3 linked regions of the Arabidopsis thaliana genome follow. The protein of the gene in region 2 interacts with the protein of the main gene of each other region in a biochemical or structural test. Each region holds a gene or a part of one and is shown on either strand. Other genes may lie near its edges.

Region 1 (8,067 bases), on a different chromosome or scaffold from region 2:
AATACAAAAGTATGAAATCAAAAAGTAGCATGTTTAGAATGATTTATATACCAATCTCAAGATCATGCCATGGATGAGCAGCTACGGATCTTCTTGACAAGGATGAGAGAATCCTCTCGTTAAGACGAGGAGCTGGTCGCTGCAGCCTCTGGTTATCTTTAGTTTCTTCACTCATCTGTCAAAATCAGAACGTTTCATCACTCATTGATATTGACTGAATCTAACATCATAACCCTAATTGGCAGAGAGAGAATCAATCGAATCAAGAGTATTAAATGGAAAAAGCGAATCAAGACCCCACAAGGGAAAACAATCCTTAAAGCAGACTTGAGATCGATCATACCCAAATTATGGATTCATATATTGTTAACGTATCGATTACTGAAAAGATGTATACCAAATCTGTTCACTTTTTCTCTATAGACTCGATGGATGATTGAGATTTGAAGCAACAAAATACCCAGAAGATTAAACATGGAAAAGCATCAAACTTTGATGATCTTAGAACGATGACAAAAGAAAAAAAAACGTACCTTTGGATCGAAACGAAACAGCCGATTGTTGTTTTCTTTATCGCAAGGATGATGAAGAAACTTTGGGAGAGAAACAAGTGAAGCCCGTTGGTCTAGCAAGTGATTGTAAAATGTATATATGAGTCACCACCGAGATATACGGATCAAACTTTTATATTATCGTAACACTCACTACACTACCACTCAATTATTTACAAAGATTTACATCTTTTTAAAAATACTTTATTTTTTATTACGAAACATAGTTTGTGTTTTTGCGGTCACTCCTATAATCTATGTAGGATACTTGCATTACATTTTTCACAAATAATTTGGTTTGGTAGCAAGGATATGGCTCATTCAGTGAGAACAAAAAAATTGTATATCTACTCATTCATCAGTAAACCAAATTAAGAGATTGAAATATTGTATAAACTAGCTACACAATATAAGCCTTCTTTAGGCCTCTATTACTTAAGCTTGTAATAGGGAAAATGTTGTAATGTAGGCCCAAGTAGTGTGAGTAAAATCTTTAAGGCCCAGCCTAGCACCTTTGGGCATTTGGCGTTGGGCAACGAGCGCCTTCAAGTTTGAAACAAACAGAGAGAATCATTATGAAGAAACACCAAAAGACAAAACTTTCTAAGTTGTAACTTTTGTACAGTTCATCTTTTATCATTATAAACTATTTATGATCTCATCAATCAATATCCACAATTTTTAAAAAGAAGAATAAAGACAAATCCATTGCTTAATGGTTAATTAACAGTAGTAGCAGATGACATATAGACCACAAGTAGCATACACAAACAGAGACAAGAGACAAGACATGGGGTAATATGGTACAGAACCTGACATGACCAAAGAAATGTTCGGAAGGAAAATTAAAAGTCTCTTTCATAAAGATTGGAGAAGCAAACTACTAACACTAGATTTAAAGATATTGATAAAAATGTGGATGTTTTTTTTTTACCTCCAAGTCTGTCATGTAGAAGCTTCTCCTTCCAATCGAAGCCTTTTGCAGACTTTTTCATCACTTTGATTGTTTATGTTCCCAACTTGGCTCTCTTTCACTTCCATTGAACATCTCTTGTATGGCTTAAATCCTGTCTGTCTCGTTTTAAGACTCTTGCATGTTCCAACACCGATCATTACTACTCCTTCTTGGTCTGCAGCACAAGAATCCTGGCTTTTGAAATTAGGAGCCAATGGCATTGACGTGTCACTTTGTTTTCTATTCACATTCTCTGCCACTTGAGGAGGCGAAAAGCTTTGAGGCAATCTTTCTCTTGCAAAGAGAGCCTGAAACGCTATACGACCCTGAAAATATTTTGATAGTGTTAGTTCCCAGAAGAACTCTGCAATATCCATGAATCATTGGTTTTTGTTTTACCTCTTCGGAGACTTCCTTCCACGAATCAGTAGTTGCATTGTTGTTGCTGTTGTTGTCTCTCATTTTAATCTTACGGTTATTTAACTCAATAACATCTGGCTGATTCTCATCTGTCTCCTTCACATCCTCTTTATCTTTCTCCATTTTATCTAATGCATCAGTTTCTGCGTCACTCCCTGAAGGTGTATTTGAGCCACAGGATGAGCGGTCCACAAGATTTTTCTTCTGGGCAGTGTTTGAGTCATGCACAGCGGCAGTAACAACAACCTCCTCAATTTTATCATCATTGGTTTTTGAGTCGGCATTTAGCTTGGTTACTCCAGTCTCATCTGAATCATCAGATGATGAAGCTGGAGATTTCGAAGCCAAGTTTTGATCTTGCAGAGCTGTGTTTTGTTTCTCAAACGGTTGAGTATTTTCAACGGTATCCATTTCAGTCATTGCTGGAGTTGGAACTGCAACAGTTGAGAATGGAACACATGTTATTGGAGCTGGAGCGCATACAGGAAGAAGTCCATGAGAAGCCCACCAAGCAGTTGCAGCAGCTACTGTAGCAGCGGCAATGGCAGTTATACTTGGAGGAGAAGAGCTCATTGGGGTTGATGAATCACCAGAATTCCCGACACTCGCATAAGGCCAGACCGAAGCAGCGAATGTAGCTGCAGCATGAGCTGCAGGATTCTGTAGGAGAGTTGACATAATAAGATTGGAGAAAGTAGATGATATCTGGAGAAACGAACGGTAATCATCCTGTGAATGACAAGCTGGAAACGCTTGATGAGAAGCTGTAGTAGTAGCAGATGCTGTTGTAGCTTGAAGATTTGCGTGCCCGTGAGTTTCTTCTCTCATAGGATGAAACATGAAGTCTTGAGATACCATACCTGAGGGATGATTTTGAGGGCATTTTGCTATATTCCCGTTCACAATATCTGCGTGGAAATGCCAAGGGTAGTTTTGCATGCTGTGCACAGTAGTACCATCGTTACCATCTTTGTCTTTGTTCTTCTTGGGAACATCTTGAACCGCGTTGTCCACAGTTGAGGTCTTACTTGTTTCAATGTCGCCACTTACCTGCTAAAAATCAGAATGGAACAAATAATTTGTCATGCACTTGAAAGCATTCATCAGATTCTTCGACTACAATTTTGTAGCTTTCTTAGACTTACTTTCGTTGGTAAGGGATACTTGTTCACAGTAGAAACACCCGAGCAATTCTCATCTTGATTTTCTTTTCCAGTTGATGTTTTCTAACCAGAAAATAAAACATAAGAAGTCTATCACAAGACCACCAAAATGATAAAATGAAGAAGAGAAAGATCAGGAATAAACCTCAGAGAACGGCATTTTTTCCAAATCCAAGAACGCCTGATTCAACTGTGAAGAAGAGGCCGATGAAACAAGTTTTGCATCTTTTGCTGATGATACTTGAGAGGAAGATGTACCGTTGTTCCCAGGCTTTCGAGGATAAGGAGTATTGGGTTTTCGTTTAGGACGAGGAGGCGGAATTTCTATGTCCAAAGCTTGGCAAACAGGGATGCCTTTAACTTCAGCCTCTTTCTCCAACTGAAATGTGAACCAAAAACTGTGAGCTTTTCCAAACTGGAGATGGAAAAATGCAGCTCAGATGTGAAATCCTGAGATTCATGAAATTGACCACATCACCAAGGTTGAAAAAAGTCTTATACTGACCCGAATTTTTCGGGGTAGAGATGATAGAGTTACTTCATGTCCTGTCCTATAGGGCAAGGAGGTTTGGTTTCCATATGGATGGCTAAAAGAATTCATGCAATCCCATTATTTCATCGACTTTAGTGAATATGGGACAATTGTGTCATCCAAATGCAACGCTAGTTATGTTAATTTGGACCTATCTTATGGTCTCAGAGAAGAAAGCTCTCTGTAGAGTTTTTTCTAACAGTAAGTTTGGACAGACCAATCTAATGTTAAGTTTAGTTGAACAGAGTAAATGAAAAAGATAAAAAACGATCGAGATGCAATCCTCGGAACCAACCAACTCTACTTAGCAAAACACACTCTACTTAGACGCCTAATTTCTAGTTGAAGCAATTAGAGAAAAGGAAGAATAAGAAGAACCTTCTATCATCTTTTCCAGACAGTGACAGGCAACTTCTAAACATAGTCATAGATCGATATGAAAAAATGGTACCTTTACACAAGATAACGAAAGTGTTTTAAAAAGATCTGAAAGGATCATCAACTTACCTTTGTGAAGAACTTTTGTGCATGACTTCTGATCTGAACAGCAGTCTTTGTCCCAATATGTTCTGCACACAAAATGAAAAGAAAAGAAGGAATCTCCCAATCAAGAGGAGATAAAGACACTCCTAAACAAAGGAATATAAAATCTCAAAGAGTTCAAACTAAACATTCAAAAGATAAACTTTCGACCTTCAATTCGTTGCCAAGCTCTTCCATAAAGCCTCAAGGCTTCTAGAAACCTCTCATGCTCATCCTCAGTCCATCGCTCTCGCTGCTTTGTTATTGTATATGGCTTTCTTGCCTAAACATTTGAAAACCCAAAAGAAAATCAAATCTTCACACAACAACAGTCCAAATCTCTCAAACAAAAAAACACCAATCTTATTTCATTAGTAGTAGTACCTTAGCTAATAATTCTTCTCCAGATGTATTAGTATCCATAACAGGACCGGTGCAGCTATTCGCTGCTTCAAATCCTCTCTAACAAGTAAAGTATAAAAAAGAAACCATCTTTGATCTCCCCAAACATGAAAGTTTTCAAATTGCAAAGCCGTTGTGATAACCTCTTTAGATTCTAGAGAAACTGCAAAGGAGAAAGTACTTTATGAGAAATATTTATCCACAAACACTAAGATAAGAGTGATGAGCGAAATTCAAAAGAGAAATCTTTTCAAAGTCCACCGTGAAACAGTCGCTGCTTCTCCAGCAGAACTCAAAAGAATTCCCTTTATTATTATTCACAAAAGCCTCACCCAAACGAATCCACCGCAGCCAAAACCTTCACAAATCTTCATATCAGTAATCAATCACCAGATTCGTATCATTTATGCTAACTTTTAGAGCTAATAAGATTTAGTTAATCGCTTCTATAAGTTTCTCAGCAGCCAAACAGAGATCTTAGTATGTTATAGGAATCCTAGAAACTGCTCATAATGTAAACTGTTATACCCTTGAGAGTAGCCATGGAGGAGACAAGTATGCAATCTGACTTATCATCTCACCGGGAACTCCCCGGAGAAGTCATCGTTCCCGGAAATAATCAAATCGGAAGCAAAACAAAAAAAAATCTCTAAAAATAAATTTAAAAAACAGAGAGAAGAAGGAAGAAGATAACTGAAGAAGAAGAAGAAGAAGAAGAAGAAGAAGAAGAAGGAAGACTGTTTTAGGCTGAAGAAGACTGGAAGAAGAAGAAGAGAAGCCAGAAGCAATCTCAGCCACAACAATTTTTCCCCTAATTTTTGGAAAAATTTTAATTGAAAAGTTTATTTGAGGCTGGAACAGCACCAAGGGTATAAATGGAAAAAACAGAAGTCATCGCAGATCGACACGTGGTGATATTGTAGTGGCTGTCTACTGCACTTTTTGGTATATCTCAAGTTGCTTCTCTACGAGCCAGAAGCTTCAATGTGAAGCTCACGTAGGTAAAAGTGAGTGTGGTGGTCCACAATTGCTTACGTGTAAACGATTATTGGTACAAACTTGGACGACTAAACAAGTGGGTACGGTGCCAGCTGTGATGGTGTACTGCTACGTATTGGCTATGCTGGATCTGGGCTTGTAATAAGACATTGTATGGGCCTCACTTTTACGCCTATTCTATATAAATTTGCGTATTAACATAGTTGAATTAAACCCGACAAGCTTGGACTGCTCGGGGAACTTGCGTCTGTATAAAAATCTTCATCTTTTCATATAATATCATGCAATGCCTATACAAAATTTCAACAAATTATCATCGAGAACTTTGGTCAACTTGCTTATATAACATTTGTAGAAATTAAGGAACATTAATTACTCTTAAGTCTTAACCGAAGCATGTAGTATTTATTTATGGAATTCAGCAAACATCATTACACTCATTTTTTTAGATTCCAGCTTACAACTGTGTTTTGCTTAAAGCAGAAGCGTTTAACATAGTTATAGATACTCTAATGTTGGAGCAGAGCTTAGTTGCAATATTTTTTGAAGTTGACGGCCTCATCGGTCAGGAAGCCACTACAAAAGGTTACCGAGAACTTTGGTTAGTTCGGTTCGGTTCTAGGTTAACCAAAAAACAATAGACCAGTTTTTGTTACTAACCGAAGAACTGAACTACCCGAATCTAATTGAAATAACCGAAATTATTCCAAAATAACCAAACAAACCGGATTTAAATATTTCACAAATCTCTACGTTGATGTTTGGAATTATAAAATTTTATCTCTCATTACCTCTCCTTAAACATTAACTAGGACATAACAGTTATTTGAAACATACATTAACAACAATATAATTAAATTAAACGGGCGACTTAGAGTCGTTATCCTTATTAGGAGTAGTATATTGAGCTTCGTTATCCATTCCTGAAGACAATGCAGTTGATGATTCCGTTTCTTTGTTCTTCCCCCACAAGAACATGTAGAGACCCGTTATGGTCACTAGTGATCCAATCACACTGTAGACCAAAAGTTTTAATGTTGTAATTAGTGTTATGCCTAGACAAAATTAATTTGATAGAGATTATCGAAGAAGATACCTTCCAAGGTATAAAGGAGTGTGTAAAATGAGGAAATCAAATAGAGTAGCCGAAATGAGAGTAAGTGGGAAAAACGCCGATGCGAACACAGCTCCTAATTTTTTAATCCCCCATGTTGTTGCAACCGTCGTCATTGCTTGTCCTACCACTCCCTATAATATATGATAAAAAAAAACCACATAAAAAAACCCACATTAATATCTTAAGTTCTTACATACTAATCTTATAATTTTTAAAAAGTTAATTTATAAAGATATGATGTTTGTAACTTACAGCGTATATGATGACGGTGATAACGAATCTATCATCTATGATCCAATCATTAACGTCTCTGCTCTTGTAAAGGCTCAAGAGAGCACATTGAAATGCCGCGAAAATTGACATAAGACAAGTGCTCGAGTATTTGCAAGGGTACTTAATACTTAAAGTCCCTTGAAACAACATCCATAGAGATAGCAACACTGTTCCTATGGTTAAATAAAGACATCCAAGAAGCCAATTATTGGCCTTGTCTTGATCGTTGTTGTTGTGGGAAGCCCCACCGTGAGAGTGAGAGTGAGAGTTTGATATTTGTGGGCCTTTGTAAAATGTTAAGAACAAAGCTCCACTTATACAGATCAAAGTTCCAATCACCTTCAACATTCCTGCTTTGGTCTTTAGAATCTTCACATTTTCAGTCCTAAAAAAAGTAAAATTTTAATGATTATTTTGAAACAAGTTATTGAGAATATGAATCATAGTAGAAAGTATTTGTTTTTTTTCTTTCCTGGCGTTACAAAATAGAGTCGCTTTTTAATAATTTTCCGCATCATTCCATCAAAGTTTATAAAAATGCGACGTATAGCTAAGAAAAGACATTTTTTCAGGAAAAGCTTTAGAAAGAGGGCTCAGTGGATGCAGTTACGTATACTTAAGGTAATTTGATGGAAAAGAAAACCAATCAGATTGCATTACAATTAATAAGAAAATATAATGTTCTATATTATGTTGTCAATACTTTCAGTAGTGCTTTTTAAAAATCTAGATTAATATATATTATCAATTGATGATAAAGAGGTTAGATGGTTCCATCGTTACCTGAAAATAAGGGCCAAAGCGAAGGTGATTGCAGGCAACATGCTTACCAAAGCACACGAAACAGTTGCTGACGTGTACGACAGACCAAGCAAAAAGAAAAACTGCATCAAACTCGCCCTGTCAATTTAAACCCATAAATTAATTAAAAGATCTTTAATAATTTAGCTTATGATTAGTACAAACTATTAAACTATAAGAATAAATTGCAAATGGCCGACAAAATAATATAATAAAATGCAATTAGGTTTGAGAGGACTAACCCGAGAAGGCCACTGACGAAATGATCGACCATTAGCCTAAACGTTATTTGTGGTCTTGTTTTCCTATTTAACAACAATAGAAATTCTTTA
Region 2 (5,400 bases):
CAATATGTAATGGATCTGTCTACACTGGTTTCATATTGCAATTCGTTCTTCATTTTGGGGTCTAAGTTGGTTATTATATGTATTGTGAGTTCTCTTCCTAACGTATGTATGGTTATGTGATTCAGGAACACGTTATGGTGCGAGTATCAGGAAGCAGATTAAGAAGATGGAGGTCAGCCAGCACAGCAAGTACTTCTGTGAGTTCTGTGGCAAGGTATGAAAGAGATTAACATTCAGTTACTGTTTTCATTTCTAAATCTCTTTTGGTTTTGGATTATTGTGGTAACTGTGGTTTGATCAAAATGATTGCAGTACGGAGTGAAGCGAAAGGCTGTTGGTATCTGGGGTTGCAAGGATTGTGGCAAGGTCAAGGCAGGTGGTGCTTACACAATGAAGTAAGTGATTTCTGAGTTATATTTGTATTAGCTTTGTGTTGGTTATCAATCAATGATTTGTTTTCTGATGAAATTGTTTTCGTTTGTGAATTGCAGCACCGCCAGTGCGGTCACTGTTAGAAGCACGATCAGAAGGTTGAGGGAGCAGATCGAGGGTTAAAAGTCTGCTGGCTTTTTATATTTGGTTTCCTTGTTTTGACAATTTAAGTTTTGCAAACTCTATGCTTGTGATTTTGAATCAAGACTTATACATTGAGCAGTTTAAGCAGGTTTTTATTTTTTGTTGAGTTAATTTTCAAAGTTTCATTACCAATAGTTCTAGCTATATAACCTAAAGTTAGGCTTGAGGTTTTGAATGTTTGATCCTATTCAACACCTAATTATAAATCCTTGAATCCTGATCTAATGTGATGTTTCTTATACTTTATTTTGATCAGCACTTCTTTAACCCTATAACTTGGTAACAGTATTCGCACGAGTCTTTACAGATCAAAATTTTTAGAGTTTGATGTGTGTTTTCAAAGTGCTTTACTAGAAATCCTTACGATAATACAATCTATAACTGAGTGTACTAAGTTTAATTACACAAAAGTCGGTGAATAAACAAATACTAACGTTACTGGTTTTTATGTCTGGCAATGATCTCTTATAAAATCTATATATTGACTTGTTTATATGCTTTTGTGTCGTAATCATCCTAAGATATTGGTCCCTTGAGTGTATTTTAATGGCCATACATGTCTCATTATGATCTTTGATGAAATTGATTGATCTAAGTTATACTTCAGTTGAAATTTATGAGTTTTACATGAAATTAGAAAAACGAATAATAATCCAACAGTTCAAAACAAAATCCAACTAACTGGGGAAAATCTTTTCGGAGACAACAACAAGACCCAAGTGTGTCGTTCTTTTCCCCCAATGAGCCAGGCTGTTGCACTTCTAAGTTTTCTTGGAACTTCATGAGATTCTTTCAAGATTCCATCTTTCAACTTCAGCTCTCATCCTCTAACCCAATGGTTGATGTATGCTCCAGTCACCGCAGCTATCGTTTCAGTTGCTCATCCGGATGCAATTACAGAGCCACTAAATGTATCACCATTGAGAATGCAGAGCACTAGTATCATGGTTTGTGTACCTTGAAGCCAAAGATTTTTGGGACATAGCTTTGAGTAGGCTTCTGCGGCTTTAAGTTCCCGTAAGTCATCAAGAACAAGTGAGGGAATGTGGTTCCAAAGTACGCTCCATCAATATCTGCACAAGTCATTTAAGGAAAACGCTAAGATACAATGACACTCAAGATCAGAGTGTCTCAACTGAAGCAAAATCAGACCTAAGCTTTCACTGAAATATTGAAATGGCAAAGCCAAAATTATGGATTATGAACAGAGAAAAAGGATACTGCCTTGGAATTTAGATCGCGGGTAAGATATATCCTCGCATTTAGGGCAGTATATCTTCACAGTACTCGATCTCGGGATATCGGATTGTCCAACTGGAAGACAAGACTGACCGCAACAGAAAACTCTCGGGCATCTCCCGAAATCACAGTTCTTGTACTTCTCAGTCTACAGAGATCAATAAACAAGAGACGTCGTTAATCAAATAACGAAGCTAAAAGCACCAAAACATAAACAAAAGAGTAGAGAGATTCTCTCACTAACCATTGCAGCCATTCCTTTAGTAGTCAAAATGTAACGAACATGAATAAGACCATATAGCATCTCAGCAGCTGATTCCACCATTTCATGCTGTTCATCAGTAAACATCTCACCTAAACATAGATACAAGATTTCAGACCAAACTTTACTAGCTCCTTATTAACAAAAAAAGAAAGAAGAAGAAGAAGAGAGATGACTTACTGTTGGAAGCATCAACATCTAAAATGAGATCAAGTGCATAATCATAGTAAGGGACTTGACCACTTAAACCACAAAGATTGAAATCATCTTGAATATAATCTTCATCGACTTCACAGAAGAAATCATTCCCTCTCAAATTACAAAACCAAGAGATCCACGACGTATCATCACCCTCCGATCCACTCACATCAGACCCTTCACTATCAGTTTCCGATTCCACTGCAACACCAAAAAAAAAAAATCATCAGAAAGAAAGCAATTAACCAACAAAAAGACTCACAGATGTGAAAAAGAGAGGAACAAACCATCAGGAAGCTGAGTTTTAGTAGATGTGAAGGAAAAGGGATCTTTGTCTTTAGAAGAGAAAACCCTAGATGTGGTGGTGGAAGTTGAAGATTTCTCTAGTTTCTTATTGAGTGCATCGTTGATTCGTTTCCGATCAATAGCTCCACCGAGGATCTCTGATCTCGATGACCCACCACCACCTCCTCCACTACGTTCCTTGTACATAATTCGATTCCTTCTCCAAAAAGACAAGAAATTTGGAGATTAGATTCTCGAAAGTGTCAGACTTTCTGAGAAGCTTGAGAGAGAAAGGAAATTAGAGAGACGGAGAAATCTAGGGTTTTCTTCTTTTTAATTTTAATTTTTTTAAAAAAATTATATATAATTTTGGTAACAGAGTGGAGGACAGGACATAGGCGATGTAAAGATGGTCTCTCTTTCTCCTCTCAACTGTTTTGTTTTTTTTTGCTTTCCAGTTTTTGTTCTTTCTATTTTACAATGGGCTTCTATAATTGGGCCTTGTGTTAGCTAAAGTCAGTTTAGTCTCATTGCTTGCTTCCATCAGAAACGACCAAAACAGATGGGCCACAGCCCACATAAGATGAAATCCATAAATCGTGAACAAACATGACAACCAACAAGATTACGATTTTTGGAATTAGAGTACATATACATGTTGGAACTTGGAAGATGCATTGGTCAACGGAGCTAGACCTGACAAAGGTCTTCGGATAATAATAATATCGTAAACATTAAGGAAACTTTTTAATTTTAAAAAATCGGACATGAAGAGCACGAATTGAACTCTATACAAAATCTAGAGTTGAATCGTGTTTCAGAAACTGAAGGTACACGAGCTTGTGGTGGCGTGGTGCACGACTCTGCATAAAACTCATTATATTATCTATTCAAAATCTAAGCATTTGTTTCAGACAACACAAGTTTCATTTTTAAAAGATCTCGACTTACGACAAAAAAAAAAAAAAAGATCTCGACTTTTTTTGTTAGTTAAATACTACAATAGTTTGAGAAATATTTTGTATTTATTTTATTTTTTTTAGTTTGAGAAATATTTTGTATTTCTTCGTTTGTGTTCAAGTAAAGTTTGTGATCCACGTTTATATACAAAATTGATAGATAAAAATTGGACTGGCATATCATGTAATATACACACCCAAACATAATTTTTGGGATCTAGAAACATTTGCTTGCAGAACGGAGCCTTTGTCGGAGAAAGTAGTCATGCCTCGTTACAACGACTTTTGACAATTTCCCAAAAGTTTTATAGAAGTTGTAAATTTAATACTAGTAGTTGTATATTGAAATTTTATTTTTGCATTAAACGGTAAGGATCTACTAATAATTGACATGTTACTAAGTGAATGTCTAATCACACGAACAAAAAGAAAAGGCAGTTTACACGCGGGTCGGCTATATTTGAACCATACCGGTGATAGTATTGGCCCACGCCTTAATGAAATTGTCGCACCCATGATACCGTGATCTCACTTATGTGGTTAGCTTTGTAAGACAACATTATTACTCTACATGCTATATTATCTTACTCGGATTCGATGTTTTGTTTTATTAAGAAAGTAAACAAAAACTAGATTGAAAGCTAACCTTTAGATAGATTTTATTAAATAAAGTTTAATTTCGATAATGCATTTCCAAACTCGAAGCGTCACTAGTTGCAAACGGAAGTGTGGCACTAAGACTTTACTAATCATATAATTCTGTGAGATTAGATTTCAATATTTTGATCAGGTAATTCAAAATTTTGTTGTTGCCTAACCATTCCTTAACCGCTCAGCTATTTTGAATGTGTTAACAACCAAGTAGATCTTTGATTTTAAAGTATAACTTTCTAATGGTTGGTTAGTATATAGAAAAAATGAAAACAAATAACCATAAGTTAATTATGTAATTCATTTCGAATTACTATTGTGTTACAGCAATATTCACGATGTTCACAACAGTAGAAAACAGAATCTTAAAAAGATGCTTAAAAATAGAGAAGATTGAAAGATAATAATAAAAAAAATGAATTAGAAGATTGTCGTTGACGTCGTCCGACTTAAATACCGATGACCGCACGAGTCATTATTTTCCGTTACTAAGCTTTTGATAGCGACTGAACAACACGCGCCAGATCCTTTAGTTGTAAATCCCCATTTTTATTTTCTTAAACCCAAAGAAAGAAAAAAAAGAAGAGAAACGGCCGAATCTTCATAAATTCCGCCATCTGTTAAGCTCAATCGCCGCCTAAACTCCGGCGACTCTCTCGGTAGATCTCTCAATCCTAACTGTTTTCGTCTATCTCTCTGTTGTATCTAAAAGCAGCGACGCCGATTTGTTCGTTTTCCGGCGGGTACATATAGTATGATTATCTCTGTTTAGGTGTTTTTGATCAGTTTCTCATGATATGGATTCGCATTGCGTCTCTGTTTGATTCAGATTCCGAAAGTTCCGATTGATTCGATAACTTGTATTTGTTGTTTGTTTCTGCATTTGATAGAAGATATTTGGTGATTGAGGTGACTCGGAAGAGAGTGAGAGAGAGAGATGGATGATAGAGGAGGATCGTTCGTAGCAGTGAGAAGGATTTCACAAGGTCTAGAACGAGGAAGTGTTTATCATTCTTCTTCTGGTAAATTTCATCTTCACTTTGTACGATGATTCTTTCTATTTTTTTTGCTTCTTCTGGAACAAACGCGTTTTCTCATCATTATACATCTCTATCTCTATTTCTCTCTCTCTCTCTCTCTCCCACTTTTTCCACGTTTTCTCTTTCTCTCTGTGTATTCGCTGGCGATTGCCTTTTTATCTGAGATTTAGTGTCGCAGATCTACCTTTCG
Region 3 (6,990 bases), on a different chromosome or scaffold from region 2:
GTTATAACAGTTCAGGATTGGTCGACCTTTGTTACCAAATGCCACCTAATTAATTTTGGTCCTTCATTGAGTTTTGTGACCTTTGTGATGGAAGTCAAATCCTACTAATTTCTCACAATTTATGAAAAAAATTTCAGGTTGAAGAAAGTCTTCATATAACAAGACAAAGTCTGTAACATTATACAACAAATCAATACTTCTTCTCACTATACAACAATTACGATAACATGTAAAGCCTTAGCCTCCATTCTCTTTAACACCTGAAGACAAGAAGCGAATACTCTTCTACATCTCTAGCTAGCTTGAAGCAGCACATGCATCAAATTTGACAGGAAAAGTCTTCAGCCTCACATGTAAAAACTGAGGCTAAATTTGAAAATCTCAGAAAAATGAGGCCTATATTTTGCAATAACAAATATTTTTGAGGCCTAATTTTAATACTAAAAACCTTACAAATTTTGGTGGCCCTATACCCATGTTTCTTACAAATGGGTCACGGGCCGGGCCTGTGAAGGAGAGGGGCTTGCTTATAATTGATGCTGATCATCCTAATTATGATGCCAGTGGCCGCGGTAAGAGGAGAAGAGTAGAACAAGAGCACCACTCAGATCTCAACAACGAGACTGCAGGTATATTATACTCTCGATAGGAGGCTTGCATTGATACGACGAACAACTAGCTAGATACGTGTACACTTACGCAATTCTCATTGTTTTGTGTTGGTGGTCAGCTCCTACAGGAGGATCAGCTGGTGAGGAAATTGTTTTGCCTTTTACCAAGACTTTAGCTTCGTGGAAAGAGTTTGAGTCTGATGAGGTCTACAAAAGAACACCACAACGTCCTCACTTCCCATCATTGGCTTACACGCATCCAAGTTTTGGTGAACCGACTGCAGCCTATCTGACTGCAGCTTTTATCGATTGTGTAAAGACAGTAGATGGTATGTGTGAGGACACTCCAAAAAGTGAACTAGATGTCTACAGAGAGACATTTAAAATGTTCGAGGAGCAGGGTTTCGACGTTGCAGAACCTTTATCACAGGTCCTCACGCTGTTAGTTCTCCGCAAGATGAGACGTGAATCCCTCAGACAACAAAAAGGGATGGAGAAAGAGATGGCAGATGATTATAGCAAGCTGAAAAAGAGTCTGGTGAGGTGCAAAAGCAGCTTTGAAGACAAGGAGACGGCCAAATAAAAGATATGGGGTCATTTCATGGGTGTGGTTGGATTTATCCTTATAACTTCTGTTTTTATTTAATCCTTTTTTGTAACAACTCTGTTGTACTTGCTACTGCTTGCCTTTGGCTGCTTGCCTTTCTATTTATGTGATGACATAAGGAAGTAGAGTTTGCTTATTTGTGTGGTGCTTTTGTGCTTACTTATGAGTTATGAGACAACTTAAGGGTGATGGATGGGCTAAGATTACGTTTTGGAACTCTGTCGTTTGCATATATCAAGAACAAGAGCCCCTTGAGTGAAGTTCTTTCCAGGTTGGAAAAAAAAAGATTAAACAGTTTATGATTTGTTGAATAATACAGAGTCAAATGTTACAGGAAGACTATGGACAAGGAAACAAATACAAAGGCCTCAAAAGAAAAAGAAAATGTAGCAGTGGTCTTGAAAACTTAAAAACAGAGTACAAACAACAGATCAGATGAAAATAGAGTCTCATGTGGAAGCTTGAGTTTCCAACCGCATCCGTTTGGGATCTTTCTGTTCCACATGAATGATAGGATTGTTGTTGAGGATTCTACTTTCTTTGGCTTCCATGGAACATCTTTTGTATGGTTTAAAACCTGTTCTTCCTCTACTCATTAGCTTTGAAGCATCTAATCCGATTCCAAGAAATCCTGTGTTTCTCTTCTCCTCTTGATCATCAACTGGTGTTAACTGAGCTGTGAAGTTAAGATCAAGTGCCATTGGATATCTTTGTTCTTGTTGTTGTTGTTCTTCCTCTCTGTGTTCTTCTCGATATGTAAAACTTTGCGGCAATACCTCTCTGGAGAAGAGAGCTTGGAAGGCAATTCGACCCTGAATGTACAATATTTATATGAGAAAATGATTTGAAATAAAGGAAGTTGATCTTTAGTCCAAGTAAGTACCTCGTCAGACACAGACTTCCATGGATCGGTTATATTGGAGCTGATTCTACTGCGGCGTGCATTGGACTCTGAAGTTTGAGGTTTATTAGTGTCTTCATTCGTTTCTTTCACCTCACCATTGGTGCCATCCTCTTGCCTTTCTGATGCATCCGCCTCAACATCATCACTACTCGACGGAGTGTTTGAGCCACACGAGGACCGGTCAACTTGTTTTCTGTCTCCTGCTCCATCTGAACCCTTTGCATCACTCTCAGGTGTTGCAGAAGGCTGCTCATGACAAACTGGTTTACTCTTATTTTCAACATCCTCTGAGTCCAGTGAAGATCGAGCCTTTGATGCCTCGGAGTGTTCTTGCTCTCGGCTCTGCACAGAACCATGTTGTAAAGTGCTTGCTTTTGTGTACTCTACATCACATGATGGTCCAAAAGTAGATGGAGGATGACTAGTGAAACCACCTGAACTAAGAGGAGCACATAAAGGTAATAATCCATTGGCAGCCCACCAAGCACTAGCAGCTGCAACAGTGGCTGCGGCCATGGCAGCCAGATTCGGAGGTGAGTTCCCTGGAACAGGTGAGCCACCACTAGAATCGGGAGGCCAAAATGATGAGGCGAAAGTTGCGGCAGTATAAAGAGCCGGTGTTTGTAAAAGGGTTGACATTATATGATTAGGAAACGACTGATAATCTCCTGCAACTGTGTGGGGATGACTATCTGGCTCTGAAGGAGGATGTGATAGAGAACTTGTTATTGAGCTCCCCAATGGCACTAGCACAGGGATATGCATCGGATAAGTCTGAGGTCCTTGCTCATTACCGTTTTCCAGAGATTTTGCATTCAAATCTGAGTTTGACTCCTTTCTTACCCTGTTATTCTGACTTCCCTGTTATTCCCCCACGGTTTTAGTTTCATGAAAAGTACTAATCGTCTTAAAACCTCAAATAGCAATGAAAGATTGTTTTTTACCTCTTCCCGTGAAGGCAAGAACTCGCGGAAAGTGCTTGCGTTTGATGTCTCTATACAACTTTTATTCATGGAGGATGCAGCAGAGAGATACTGATGAGTGAAACAATCTGAACAGTTGTCTTCCTGCAGAGTTTTCTCTTCAGGCTTTGATTGTTGTCGATCTTCATTGGCCATCTATAAACGAAGCACACAATCTGTATTAATAACATGAGGAGCAATGTGACACACTGCAAAAAGATGCCATATGACCATGAAAATCACCTCAGGATGCGACACTTTTTCTGATCCAAGGGACTCTTTTCCATCATTCACACCCGTTTTTGACATAAGGATCGTTCCACTTCCCGTCTTTCGAGGATAAGGATTGTTTGGTTTACGCTTAGGCCGTGGAGGAGGAATAGCTATGTCTAGCGCTTGACCCATAGCTACACCTTTAGCTTCAGCCTCTTTCTCTACCTGAGAGAGATGAGAGTAGTTTTGTTACCCTCTAAACAAACGTAAACAAACAAAAATCTAATGACACTAACAAGTTTAAATGACAGAACTGGAAAATCAAAAATGGTTTACCTCTATGGCTTATCACAAGGAACATTCAAAAATTTCTAGCACTCAGCCCACTTTTGCCACTACCTCAGAATCGGTAAGAAGACACAAGTTTATCTGAAGAATCTAAAGAAACTAACATTCTTCTGAAGAATCTATGTACATGTTTGTGGATTAACAAGATATAGGCATAAACAAAAGAAAACGATTACATCTCGTCATTTCTCCAACTATTTTAAGACTTATTGCTCATTACTAAACTCTAAAAACGTAATCTATCTATCTCCTGACTAAGAAGCAAAAGAAGCAGAAAACTTGCCTGGCTTTCAATAAGTCTTAAGCATTAAGCCAATGAAGATGAGAACATCATTTCAAAATTAACCGATTTTACCTTGGAGAAAAATTTCTGAGCGTGACTTCTTATCTGGACAGCAGTTTTTGTTGCTACATGTTCTGTCCAAATGAAAAAAAGCAAATCAGTTTGAAGACAAACCTCTGCAAACACAAAAAATAAGACATATAAAGGGAAATAAAAATCAACCTTCAATCTTCTGCCATGCTCTACCATAAAGCCTCAAAGCTTCAATGAATCTATTATGTTCTTCCTCAGTCCACCTTTCACGTTGCTTTGTTATCGTATATGGCTTCCGAGTCTATATCAAGTTTCATTAAAATTCTCAATCTTTGACACCTAAAACAATCATCTTCCCCCTAAAATTTAGTTTAATTTACCTTAATAACCAGATCTTCTCCAGACGAATTTGTCTCCATCACTAAGCTCCTCTACACAACTTCAGATCTTCTCTTTACAAAATTCCACTAATCCACAAAACAAAAAACAATCAAGTCAAGTTATTCATCAAACAATAAGAAAGACCATGACAATAAATCAATCTTAAGTACCTTTAGAGAGATGATTCAATGAAAGAAACAAAATCAGCTTGGATTCGATAAAGATTCCATTTTTAATTCCAGATTTCGTTGGATAAGAAAACAGTAAGAAATCGAGAAGAAGAAGAAGAAGAAGTGATTTGCTTTTGATCAATGAAACAAAGAAAAGAGACCAGAAGCTACGGAAATGGAGAAATCTCAGCCACTATAATTATCTTTAACCTCAAACTTTTTAATTTATTTATTTCGAGGCTACAAAAGAAACTGCCATATGTCAACATACTAGTGGCTGAAGAGATGATTCAGCTTTTGTTCAAGTTACATTCTTGTCCATCTTAACATCAACTTGTTCACAACCTTCTTTGTATTCTAGGCCACGAGTTCCGGGACTACCTGAAAGGTTAAAAAGGTCAATTCGTTATAATATCTTGATCTAGTGGGACCTACTTAAGATCGTTAATCTCTCCCACCAGTTTGTCGACACGTGTCTGATACACTAGAAACATCAGTGGACCCGGGAATCTAGACGACTACTTCACCAACAATCGAACGCGCATTCTCGTGCGGTTCACTACACGCGCTATTCTCACACTCTAATGGACCTAAACTTATTTGGGCCATAGTTTTATATTGGGCTTATTTTTTTTAGACCCATAAGGTTTTGTTCTTTTAGCATAAGGCCCATATCGTTATTCAACAGTTCAGCATTAAGCTAAGCTAACCATGCATGAAGGGTAGAAGACTAAATGGGGACAAAGTTTGAAATTTTGGAAAATGAAACAAAACATCTCATATATAGTCTTGAGGAATTTACAACACTTTGACATAAATGGATGATACTTTGAGCTAAAAAAGACCAGAGACAGAGAGAGAGAAAGGATGAAAATTATTTAGTTACAAGAAGGAAAGATTGAAGGAAGGACGTGGCCTTTGTGTTAGATTCTTTTGATATCCTTCATTCCAATTCATGAATGGCCTCAAAAAGGCTCTTCTTCTTCTTCTTCCTCCTTTGATTCAGCTGCTCCCTAATATGTCTTTGTATGTGCTCTTGACCTTCTCAAACAAAGCCTCCCTGAAACAGATAACAAACAATTTCCTCGAGAATTTGAGTCTTCCATTCTCAGTATTACATGCAACCAAACACAGAGTTAAAGAGAGAATTGGTTAACCTGTCTGGTTTGAAGACCAGGTTCTTGTAAGTGAACCACTGCCATAGAAAAACCAAATGTTAATAAGGTCCATCACACAATTGAAACAAACTACACACGTCTTTTAAGATTGAAACACTAGCGAGAAGCAGCAATCAATTTCTGATATCATATCTCCATATGAATTGCAGATGTTCGGATTCTAAATTCAGAGAACTAATCCTAAATCCAAAAGTGAAGTGATGAATCATCTATATCCTCAAAACAGGTTCATGAGAGCTTTGGTTCAAGTGATACAAAGAGAAGAAGAAACTCACTCCTGTGTAACCGATGCCTACAAGTTCAAGAACACCAGGAACCAATGGAAGCCTATCGATTGCCTGTTTCACAATAACAAATTTTGGAATCAAATAAAGGAAATTTAACACTAGGGTTTTAAGAAGAAAGTAGTATTCTTCTACTCACCGAAATCATTCCAGCAGAACCCCAAAGAGCCACTACACCAGCAAAGGCAAGAGAACCAATAGCGTACTTGTCATCCACTTTCTCCCACTTCAATCCAAACAACCAAATTCAGTACATGTAACCCAGAAGCAAGAGGTAGAATCATCATTGTATAAATAAAGTAAGAGTATTTACAGCTTCTTGAGCAGTCTTGACGATTTCAGGTAACTCAGTAGTCTCAGCTTCGGTAGTAGTGGCAGGAGCTTCACCAACTTCAGTAGTAGCTCTCGTCACAACGTTCCTCACAATCTTCCGACCTAAAAACCAAAACCCATTTCGAAAGTTTGAAACTTTAAACTCGAAATTAAAAGTGAAAAGAAAAATCTTCAGATTTATGGAAAACGAACAGTAAGCAGTGGCTTTAGCGGCACGGGTATGAGACTGAATCGGAAGTGTGGGAAGTGAAATGCACGACGGAGAAGAGGCGGAGGCGGAGGCTAGTCGAGAAGGAGGAGCTCTTGAATCGATGATGGTTGAAGAGGAAGAGACTGAAAGAGAAGCCATAGCTATTGAGCTTCAAGCCTCGGAAGAATCTCACAGAAACAAAAACAAAACAGAAACAATTAGGTTTATTATCTAAAAGATTAATGGAGAGCAAGTGTTGAAAGAATTTTGGGGATTGTGGAGATGCTTTCTCTGTTACCAGTCGGAAACTATTCGACCACTCGTTTTGGGTTTCCCGATCAGGATAGTGCTGACGTGGCGGACGTAGAGACGATCTTGGAGTTTTCATTGGATTAGATAGAATTGGGTTTTTTGGCTCCTTTTATAAAATTAGGACTCAATTCTTGAAAACAAAATTTCACTCTTGCTACTATACTATAGTCTATAATAATAA

The links.
Region 1: the proteins of CKB3 (region 2) and LHY form a complex in vitro, tested with the Arabidopsis thaliana proteins (one study listed by BioGRID).
Region 3: the proteins of CKB3 (region 2) and CCA1 form a complex in vitro, tested with the Arabidopsis thaliana proteins (2 studies listed by BioGRID).

What each region holds. Positions count from the first base shown.
Region 1 is NC_003070.9:32,496-40,562, forward strand, and holds LHY (Homeodomain-like superfamily protein), read right to left. Parts: upstream 5,263-8,067; 5' UTR 5,074-5,262; exon of another isoform or gene 4,904-5,073; 5' UTR 4,878-4,903; exon of another isoform or gene 4,709-4,877; 5' UTR 4,567-4,708; coding exon 4,528-4,566; intron 4,427-4,527; coding exon 4,315-4,426; intron 4,191-4,314; coding exon 4,129-4,190; intron 3,677-4,128; coding exon of another isoform or gene 3,595-3,676; intron 3,505-3,594; coding exon of another isoform or gene 3,469-3,504; coding exon 3,235-3,468; intron 3,153-3,234; coding exon 3,072-3,152; intron 2,980-3,071; coding exon 1,906-2,979; intron 1,833-1,905; coding exon 1,497-1,832; 3' UTR 1,486-1,496; exon of another isoform or gene 1,167-1,485; intron 1,095-1,166; 3' UTR 884-1,094; downstream 1-883. Other genes in the region: PPa1 (pyrophosphorylase 1), read right to left, coding at 52-175; UMAMIT28 (nodulin MtN21 /EamA-like transporter family protein), read right to left, coding at 6,403-6,559, 6,641-6,792, 6,914-7,319, 7,718-7,834, 7,978-8,040. UniProt on the Arabidopsis thaliana protein: Transcription factor involved in the circadian clock. Binds to the promoter region of APRR1/TOC1 and TCP21/CHE to repress their transcription. Represses both CCA1 and itself.
Region 2 is NC_003074.8:22,269,196-22,274,595, forward strand, and holds CKB3 (casein kinase II beta chain 3), read right to left. Parts: upstream 2,979-5,400; 5' UTR 2,768-2,978; coding exon 2,563-2,767; intron 2,477-2,562; coding exon 2,258-2,476; intron 2,170-2,257; coding exon 2,060-2,169; intron 1,964-2,059; coding exon 1,798-1,963; coding exon of another isoform or gene 1,775-1,797; exon of another isoform or gene 1,650-1,774; coding exon 1,519-1,649; 3' UTR 1,075-1,518; downstream 1-1,074. Other genes in the region: AT3G60245 (Zinc-binding ribosomal protein family protein), read left to right, coding at 126-214, 313-395, 492-555; AT3G60260 (ELMO/CED-12 family protein), read left to right, coding at 5,108-5,192. UniProt on the Arabidopsis thaliana protein: Plays a complex role in regulating the basal catalytic activity of the alpha subunit.
Region 3 is NC_003071.7:19,243,395-19,250,384, reverse strand, and holds CCA1 (circadian clock associated 1), read right to left. Parts: upstream 4,795-6,990; 5' UTR 4,513-4,794; intron 4,429-4,512; 5' UTR 4,381-4,428; coding exon 4,342-4,380; intron 4,263-4,341; coding exon 4,151-4,262; intron 4,063-4,150; coding exon 4,001-4,062; exon of another isoform or gene 3,634-4,000; intron 3,523-3,633; coding exon 3,328-3,522; intron 3,241-3,327; coding exon 3,067-3,240; intron 2,984-3,066; coding exon 2,102-2,983; intron 2,031-2,101; coding exon 1,668-2,030; 3' UTR 1,470-1,667; downstream 1-1,469. Other genes in the region: DUF4 (hypothetical protein (DOMAIN OF UNKNOWN FUNCTION 724 4)), read left to right, coding at 476-629, 731-1,194; PSI-P (photosystem I P subunit), read right to left, coding at 5,515-5,572, 5,670-5,707, 5,966-6,028, 6,114-6,200, 6,288-6,409, 6,500-6,656. UniProt on the Arabidopsis thaliana protein: Transcription factor involved in the circadian clock and in the phytochrome regulation. Binds to the promoter regions of APRR1/TOC1 and TCP21/CHE to repress their transcription. Binds to the promoter regions of CAB2A and CAB2B to promote their transcription.